2 linked regions of the Neurospora crassa OR74A genome follow. The main gene of each other region encodes a partner of the protein of the gene in region 2 in a complex. Links are inferred from orthologs where the notes say so. Each region holds a gene or a part of one and is shown on either strand. Other genes may lie near its edges.

What was found.
Region 1: NCU01625 (region 2) and NCU06646 share a complex: the UniProt entries of both Saccharomyces cerevisiae proteins name them as parts of the 7-subunit TFIIH core complex. The link is inferred for Neurospora crassa OR74A from reciprocal best matches to the Saccharomyces cerevisiae genes RAD3 and TFB5.

Annotation. Positions count from the first base shown.
Region 1 is NC_026505.1:4,109,246-4,112,616, reverse strand, and holds NCU06646 (RNA polymerase II transcription factor B subunit 5), read right to left. Parts: upstream 1,847-3,371; 5' UTR 1,622-1,846; coding exon 1,603-1,621; intron 1,462-1,602; coding exon 1,313-1,461; exon of another isoform or gene 1,194-1,312; coding exon 1,143-1,193; 3' UTR 1,009-1,142; coding exon of another isoform or gene 899-1,008; 3' UTR 818-898; downstream 1-817. Other genes in the region: NCU06647 (enoyl-CoA hydratase/isomerase), read left to right, coding at 1-320, 434-817, 899-1,008. UniProt on the Saccharomyces cerevisiae protein: Component of the general transcription and DNA repair factor IIH (TFIIH) core complex, which is involved in general and transcription-coupled nucleotide excision repair (NER) of damaged DNA and, when complexed to TFIIK, in RNA transcription by RNA polymerase II.
Region 2 is NC_026502.1:2,932,155-2,936,436, reverse strand, and holds the start of NCU01625 (DNA repair helicase RAD3), read right to left. Parts: upstream 2,834-4,282; 5' UTR 2,314-2,833; coding exon 2,297-2,313; intron 2,217-2,296; coding exon 2,176-2,216; intron 2,117-2,175; coding exon 2,087-2,116; intron 2,024-2,086; coding exon 1,521-2,023; intron 1,445-1,520; coding exon 1-1,444. UniProt on the Saccharomyces cerevisiae protein: ATP-dependent 5'-3' DNA helicase.

The sequences.
Region 1 (3,371 bases), on a different chromosome or scaffold from region 2:
TGTGACCTCCGCGGGGCCTGCCTTCGTCGTGCACGTGGAGATCAACCGTCCTGCCAAACTCAACGCCTTTTTCGAGGCCATGTGGCTGGAGTTGGGCCAGATCTTCCGGCAGCTGTCGTCGGACCCGGACGTGCGGGCCGTGGTGCTCTCGGGCGCCGGTGACCGGGGTTTCACGGCGGGTTTGGACATCCACGCGGCCAGCTCGAACAACCAGCTGCAGTCGAGCGGCGCCCTCGACGTCGGGCGCAAGGCGGCCCAGTTGAGAAGATACATTACTGAATTTCAGGATAGCATTTCGGCTATTGAATTGTGCGAGAAACGTATGTATTGACTGTGCCGACTTGTCACTCTTCGTTACCCAGGGTGATATATATACGTCAAGCCAATGAACCAGTGCATGCGAATCTTGCTAACCTACAGAAACTCCCTGAAGCCGTCATCGTCGTCCTCCACGCCATCTCCCTCGGCCTCGCCATCGACATCGCCTGCGCCGCCGACATTCGGCTCTGCACGCGTGACGTTCGGCTGGCCGTCAAGGAGGTCGACATCGGCCTGGCCGCCGACATTGGCACGCTGAGCCGGCTGCCCAAGGCCGTCGGCAACTTCTCGTGGGTGAAGGAGGTATGCATGTCGGCAAGAGAGTTTGGCGCGACCGAGGCGCAACAGGTCGGCTTCGTCAGCCAAGTTCTCGACAGCAAGGTGGCTGCCCTGGATCAGGCGATCAAGCTGGCGGGCTTGATTGCTGGGAAGAGCCCGATTGCTGTACAGGGAACTAAGGAGTTGTTGAACCACGCAAGGGACCATTCGGTTTCTGAAAGTACGTTTCCTTTCTTGGTTTCTCTTCCTCCTCGTTGCTCGTTATCGTGAAGGAAAGGCTAAACTGATAATTTTGACACAGGCTTACGGTATACCACCGTCTGGAACTCGGCTGCTTTGCAATCAAGAGATATGATGGACGCGTTATCGGCTAGTGTGCAGAAGAAGAAGCCCGTCTTTTCAAAGCTTTAAAGAGGATCAAGTAGTCCATCGCAGGCTGGTAACTGCTACGCAGTGTTGAAGGTGTATAAATAAATGCATGTAATTCGGGGGGGTTCAGCGACTTGAAGTCACTACGTATGCGTCTCCTATTTACTAGGCAACTCCTAGTCACTATCTGCCAGCGGTTCCTCGGGCCTGTATGTTTCCTTCAGGCGCTGTTGTAGGTAGGAAAGTGTCAGCCAGAGGAAGGTGATATAATCGGACATGATATCTAGTTCACGATGCGGGCCAAACGGTCACACTGGACAAAGCAAAGGGGAAGCATATGACTTACGTCCTCGAGTTTCTGTTTGAGCAGTTGCACCATGTTTTCCTTAACAACCAGGGTCTGCTCATCAAGATCTTCGATGATGATATCGTTGTTAACACTATCCAAGTGAACGATGATGGACTTGATGGCTGGTTCGCACTGGATGAGTACACCTGAGCCAGGGACCAGTGTTAGCAGGGTGAGTATTTGTTTTGCGTTAGAGTCGTGCTGTGCTGTTGCTTATGAATGAGTCTTGACTAGACAAGCCCATGTACACGTCATTTATATGGTATTTCATGGGAATCCATACTGACCTCTGATTGCTCTCGGCATCTTGAATAGCTGTAGTTTCTGGCGGGATGGCAAAATGTCCTGTGATTTTTTTATGTCGCCGTAGCCCTCATCAAGTTGGCCTTTTGGGTATATGCTCTGAGAACAATGTCGTATGCGACGTGGTTTGGAATGTATCGGGCTGTGCTGGTTGTTGGTCGGGATATGGTTGGATCGTTAGATGGTTGGCGTGGAAGAAATGGGTTTGTGTTGCTGTATGGTAACTCAAATACAGCGTTTGAGCGTACAATTTGTTGGCAGCGCCTTCTCTGTAACGACGCGAGCAACCTGGCATGAAGTGACAGAGAAGCAGCGGCAGACACGGGTACCTACGTACGCTTGCAGAATACGGAACATTACGTAGGTACATACGTTCGGGTTCAGGTCAGAAAACTTGCCTTGCGATTACATACCCGCAATTATACTTACTGAACCTTGAATCCAGGTGCTGTCCCTCCAGATCAGATGAATAGATGATGAGGGCATCATGACCTTCACTTCAACCTCAATTGCAAGAACAGTGTGTATAGATGATTCTCACATTCCCTTACCAACAAGCTTCAACAAATAATTCGTCCATGAGTGGCCGGCTGGTCTGGATGATCACATTGGATCTTACTTAATGGAAACCCCGAATGTGATCAAAGCAGTCACAGGCAAGGGGGGACAATGGCGTCTCCAAAAAAACGAATCCTGTAACCACTTTCCCACTCTGTGTGGCCGTTTCGGGCCCTGGACGCTGCCAGGGATCGCTGGGCGGGAAGGCTTAACCGCTTGCAGTAAACCACCCCACCTTTTCGCTTGAGAGTGCCAGCGTGGGAGCGGAGATCGAATCTCAAAACTCGTGCCAATCGCAAGCTCAGATTAGTGATAGTATGGCTCGGATATTGGGTGCGGGTACTGAGTGGTGCCTAGACTGAGAGTTGGGAGTATTTCACGAGGATCCAGGGCAGGGAGCTGCGATGGAGACCAAGAAATATCTTTTCTGTCCAGGGAGTCCCAAAACCCTCTTGTTTGCTCCTGGATTGCCTTGCGGCGCAGGGACCGAGGTAGTATGTCGTTGGCTGACAATGATGAAATAGGTGCAGCAAACCAACGTACCCTACCCGTTCAAAACATGCCATGTCCAGTCTTTTATCCGTCTTGAGAATGAAAAAGAAAAAAGGAAAGGAAAGTAAGAAAAAGAAAAGAAAAACAAACGTCGATATGACGAGGGCGGATAGAGGTGACTAGGTACGACTTGCCGATGGCGGTTTCAGATTCTGTGCATCGGGAGCTCGATAACCGGTAGCGCCTTGTTACACCAAACTGAAATGTGACAAAAGTGAAAGACCCGATGAACTGTCGAAGATGTGATCGCAAACGAAGCCCGCATTCTTGAACATGGCGGTGCTTCCTTCCGTTCTGAAGACGACCTTCTGGAAGCGCGAGAAGAAGACCAGGGCCAAGACATGCCTCATTACTGCACTTGCCGTTGCCGTACAAGTTCGTTGTGTCGTCTGGCTGCGGTCAATCCTACGGTGTAGTGACCCGCGCTGCAGTCAGAATGCCCGCACCGCACCCAGATAATAAGGTTGGGCAGTTGGTGAAATTACCTCCATCGACTGCAACCTCAGGTGCTACCCTGCATTGCAGATCACAGTATCCCCCGGCTTCACAAAAAGACCACTGCAGTGAAGCACTCGGGCTGTCACTGGACAGTTGTTTCACGCACCAGCACCGCAGCTTCCCATTGTCCACTTACAGCAGCCCA
Region 2 (4,282 bases):
CCAGCACCATGACTCCGTAGTCGTCTTTTCCGCGCAAGACGCGCCCCAGACACTGCGCGGCGTGGCGCATGGCGTCGAAAGAGAGAAAGTCGTTTTCGCGGATGCGGTACGTTTCGCGCAGGAACTCCAAGCGGGCCTTGAGGATGCGCGACTCGGTGTACTGGAAGGGCACGCCAATACAGAGCACGGTGCGGCCGTACTGGTGGTCAAAGTCGATGCCTTCGGACACTTTACCGCGCGCGACGCAGAGCAAGATGGCGCCGCGGCCGTTGCAACAGGCGGTGCGGTACGTCTCGAGCGCTAGCGAGGTTTCTTGCGCGTCTGGGGTTTCGACCAGAATGAGTTTGTGCTTCCACACTTCGTCGAGGATGCCCATGCCTTGCCACATGGAGATGATGGATTCCATGTACAAGTACGAGGGAAAGAAGACGACCATGCCGTCGGGCGTGATGCGGGCGAACTCGGTCAGGAGATTGCCGTAGTTGCGCACGACGCTGGGCTCGTTGCGGACTTGGAAGGAGGTGGAGATGGAGGCCTGGTCGGAGCCGCGGGTGACGATCATGGGGAGGAAAGAGCGGCGGGCGAGGGTCATGGCGTAGGATTCCTGCACGACGGTTTCGAAGTTGAGCATTTTGGGGTACATTTCAAGGGGGGAAATGGTACCGGAGGTGATGATGACGGAGCTGAATCGGTCGAAGACGGGCTTGATGGCGATGGCGGCGTCGAGGCAGGTGAAGTGCAGGACTGGGTTCGGGGTCTTGGCCGTGTCGGATTCGTAGGGCTCGAGGATCAGTAGGAAGCCCTTTTCGTAGGTGGCGACGAGGGTTGCAAAGGTGGCTACTTCTTGGAGTGGCCGGTAGTCTTCAATGTTGGTGAGCTCGAGGGTCCGTACTAGCGAGGTTAGACGCTCGGCGCAGAACCGGAGCGGTTTCTTCTCGATGAAGGTGTATTCTTTCAGGTGGGCGAGGAAGGATGGTGGTGTTTCGGAGATGACCTGGCGGACCTTCATGCGGGTCTTGAGGTATTCGATGAATCTCCGGAGGAAGGCAACGAAGTGCTCGGCTCGCCTGATATTGCCGGGGACAGCCTCCTTGAGCAGATCGTCGGGTAGTGTTGGGTTAGCCATAAAAGCATCCTCCTGTCGCCCTTCATCTAGACCCTTGAGTCCTTCGACTAGCTTTTCGTACTCGGACTGAAGTTTCTCTTGATCAGAGTCCTTCATCTCGCTGATTTTGGCCTCCAAGTTCTGAGCACCCCTGGTTGCCCTCATCAGTGAGTCCTGGGTGATGTCGGTACTTAGAGACTCGATGCAGACGTTGTCGATGTTGTGAGCCTCGTCAAAGACGACGATGCAGTCCTTGGATAGATCCTTGGACACGCGCTCGGCGATCTTGGGGTCTAGGAGGTAGTGATAGGAGTAGATGATGACGTTGCAGTGTTGCATCTACATATGAGCTGTTAGTATGTATGGCATCTCGAGCTATTACATCCGCATCCTGGGGTGTTGAGAAGAGACCTACCATCCTCCTGGCAGTGAAATAAGGACACTGTTTCTTTTCCTCGCCATACCTCATCAGGCCATCCAGTGTCCAAATTCCGTTAGGGATCAAGTTATGCGGTTCTAGAAGGTCGAGATTGTCGTGGTAGACGCACGTCTCCACATTCTCCCCCTTTTCCCTCTTCTCCTTGACGAAGCCGGCCGTCAAGCTGCGACACCTCGCGTCGACAATGGCACCGCTCTTCTCCCGCTTGACCGAGGGATGCAGACACAGGTTCTTTCGACTTGTCAGACCGAGACCGCGAAACTCTTCTTCGTGCCCCAGCCGCTCGGCTCGGAACTTCATGAGTGCTCTCAGCTCAACGAGGGCCTTTTCGATTTCGGACATTGTTCGCGAGCAGTAGATCAGCTTCCGGTGCTCTGGGTAGTATTGCTGGTAGGCGACGATGAGTGACAAAAGGGTGACGGTCTTGCCGGTGCCCGAAGGCATTTCCAGGACACAGTTCCCGCCTGCATCGAGGGTTTCTGTGGGGAGTGGTGGTGGTCAGTGGACGTGTGATGAGTGTGAGCTATTTGTTGAATGCTCACTTTTCAAGTCCACCATGTACGCATATTGTTCTGTGTAGTCGGTCTGTCAGCACTTGTGATGGTGTACCAATGTGGATGAGCTCACATACCTGGATATATCCTTGGGTAAGGAAACAGAACTGGGAGATCGCTGTTGTTTGCCGGCAAGTTAGTTATCTGGTTTTTTACAGACCAAGAACGCGAACGCGTCATCTCGGATTTGGCTCTTACTCGATGTTGAACTCCATGGTGGGCGTGTAGTATCACGGCCTTGGATACACGGACAAAGGGAAGGAATTACGAATGGCTGCGCGGGCAGCAGCAACGTTGATGAATGTTCTTGCTGGTTTTACTATGTCGCAGAATATCTAATCGACGCGGGTGTCCGGATGGAGAAGTGCGACAGGGCTGATGCTTAATATGGTCGTTTGATGTTCTATTTCGATGTTTGGTTTGGTGAGAAGCGAGAAGTCGTGAAATCGAGGTCAACTTTTGGCATGTGTCTGCACGCTGGAGCTTCTATCTTGGGTCTTGGCGGGGGCAGTCGTTCGTCTGTTCTTCGGTATTCAAAGGGGCCTCCTCCCTTGTCTCAAGTATGCAGCCTCAGGTCTTCCCCTAGACCGCGTATCTCTATTATTATGGCTGTTTGTATTGCGCTTGTTGTTGTATAGATTTGTGAAGTCGAGAAAGCACGTGCCAAGGTTGCCTGGCGGTGGCCTGTGGCGATCAGCTTCAGGACAGGATCTCGGTGGATTTGATGGATCAATGATGTGCTGTTTCTGGGAATCCGGATCTGGCACAAGGTCAGGTACGGTGATACTTTTACGGTGAGCTGCTGCCGGTCCGGCACGCTTGTTGCCGGCCCGCTGATGCCGGATTGACTGCAGTGAGTGTGGACCCCCCACACGCACAGTCTTTCTCATAGTTCAATTGCACTGTGGCCTTCACATTCAAAAACGACTGGAACACCACAACTTCATCGTCACTTCCACTTCCTCAGCAGCCTCTATATTCATATTTCCTTTGCGCACACTCGCTTCCATGCTCAAAAACTGGTGCACAGGCCGCGCTGATAGAGGTAGTCCGTCTTCTCTTAGTGATTGCAATGCTTCAAGTCTACAGCAATCGGCGGACTTGGAATTTCCTCGGATTCGGATTATACGATAACTATCAGTGTTGGTACTTCCGCGCTCAGTACGAAGGATCGCCATCTTGCCGATTATCTATCAGTCCATGGGTCTTATTCAAAAGGAAGATTAAAAAAACGACCGATGGAAAGACAGGTCCTTCAAAGTAGCGGGAAAACGAAAGCGCCAAAACAAGCTGCAAGAAGGGAGAAACCTCATCATCTCAGACGCTTGAAATCAACGATCGGGAGCAAATAGATTAATTCCACCTCTCACTTCAATACCGTCCGTGGAGTACCACGGCGATCCTCAACACTTTCATATCTCTCAGTCACACATGCAGTATCTCAGCATAACCTTTATGTGGCTGTCCCGTAGGTAGTTGTTGGAATCCAAGAGCTCAAAGTTCCCACATCGACTCGGGAGTCACCCACCACTCTTCATGGAACGTCAACTGACTGCCAGGTACATATTCCACTTTGGGTGGTGACTTTGATACCCCGACTCTCGTATGCCACCACCGGCGGTTGTTGGCGCATGAGTGAATACGAGCAGCGACTGTCACGATGGAAGAAAAACGGGGCTCATCAAATCGCGGCGGCGGCGCTTGTCTGCTCATTACTACTTAACCGCCGGTTTGGAGCAGCAGCAAAGTTCCCAATTCCAAGTAGGTAGACTTCCGAAGGATTCCCAAACCCCGCCGCGCGGTTGCGATCCTTCGCCCCGGACTTACTTCCATATCTACACAGAGGTACTCAGGGTGGGTGCGTGGTGATGGGTGTATGTAGGTAGATAGGTAGGCGCGCCCTTGCTGCCGTTGAGTCTAGATCGGGGCGAGGGAGGGAGGACGGAGGATTTGAATCGACTCCCCGAACGCCTCCTACTTGCATCAAATCGGCTGTCAGAGGTGAGTAGGTACCTTACCTAGAGGTAGGTAGCCGGGCTGGTACTTATAACTTGTTTTAGACGCCGCTGCTGTGGCCGTCAGAACTTTAACTGACTCCTCTTCCCTCCTCTACACGGCGGTGATGATTAGTGATCGGAACCCACTTGAGAGAAAAGGGGGGAAGGGATGGATACTGATGGAGGT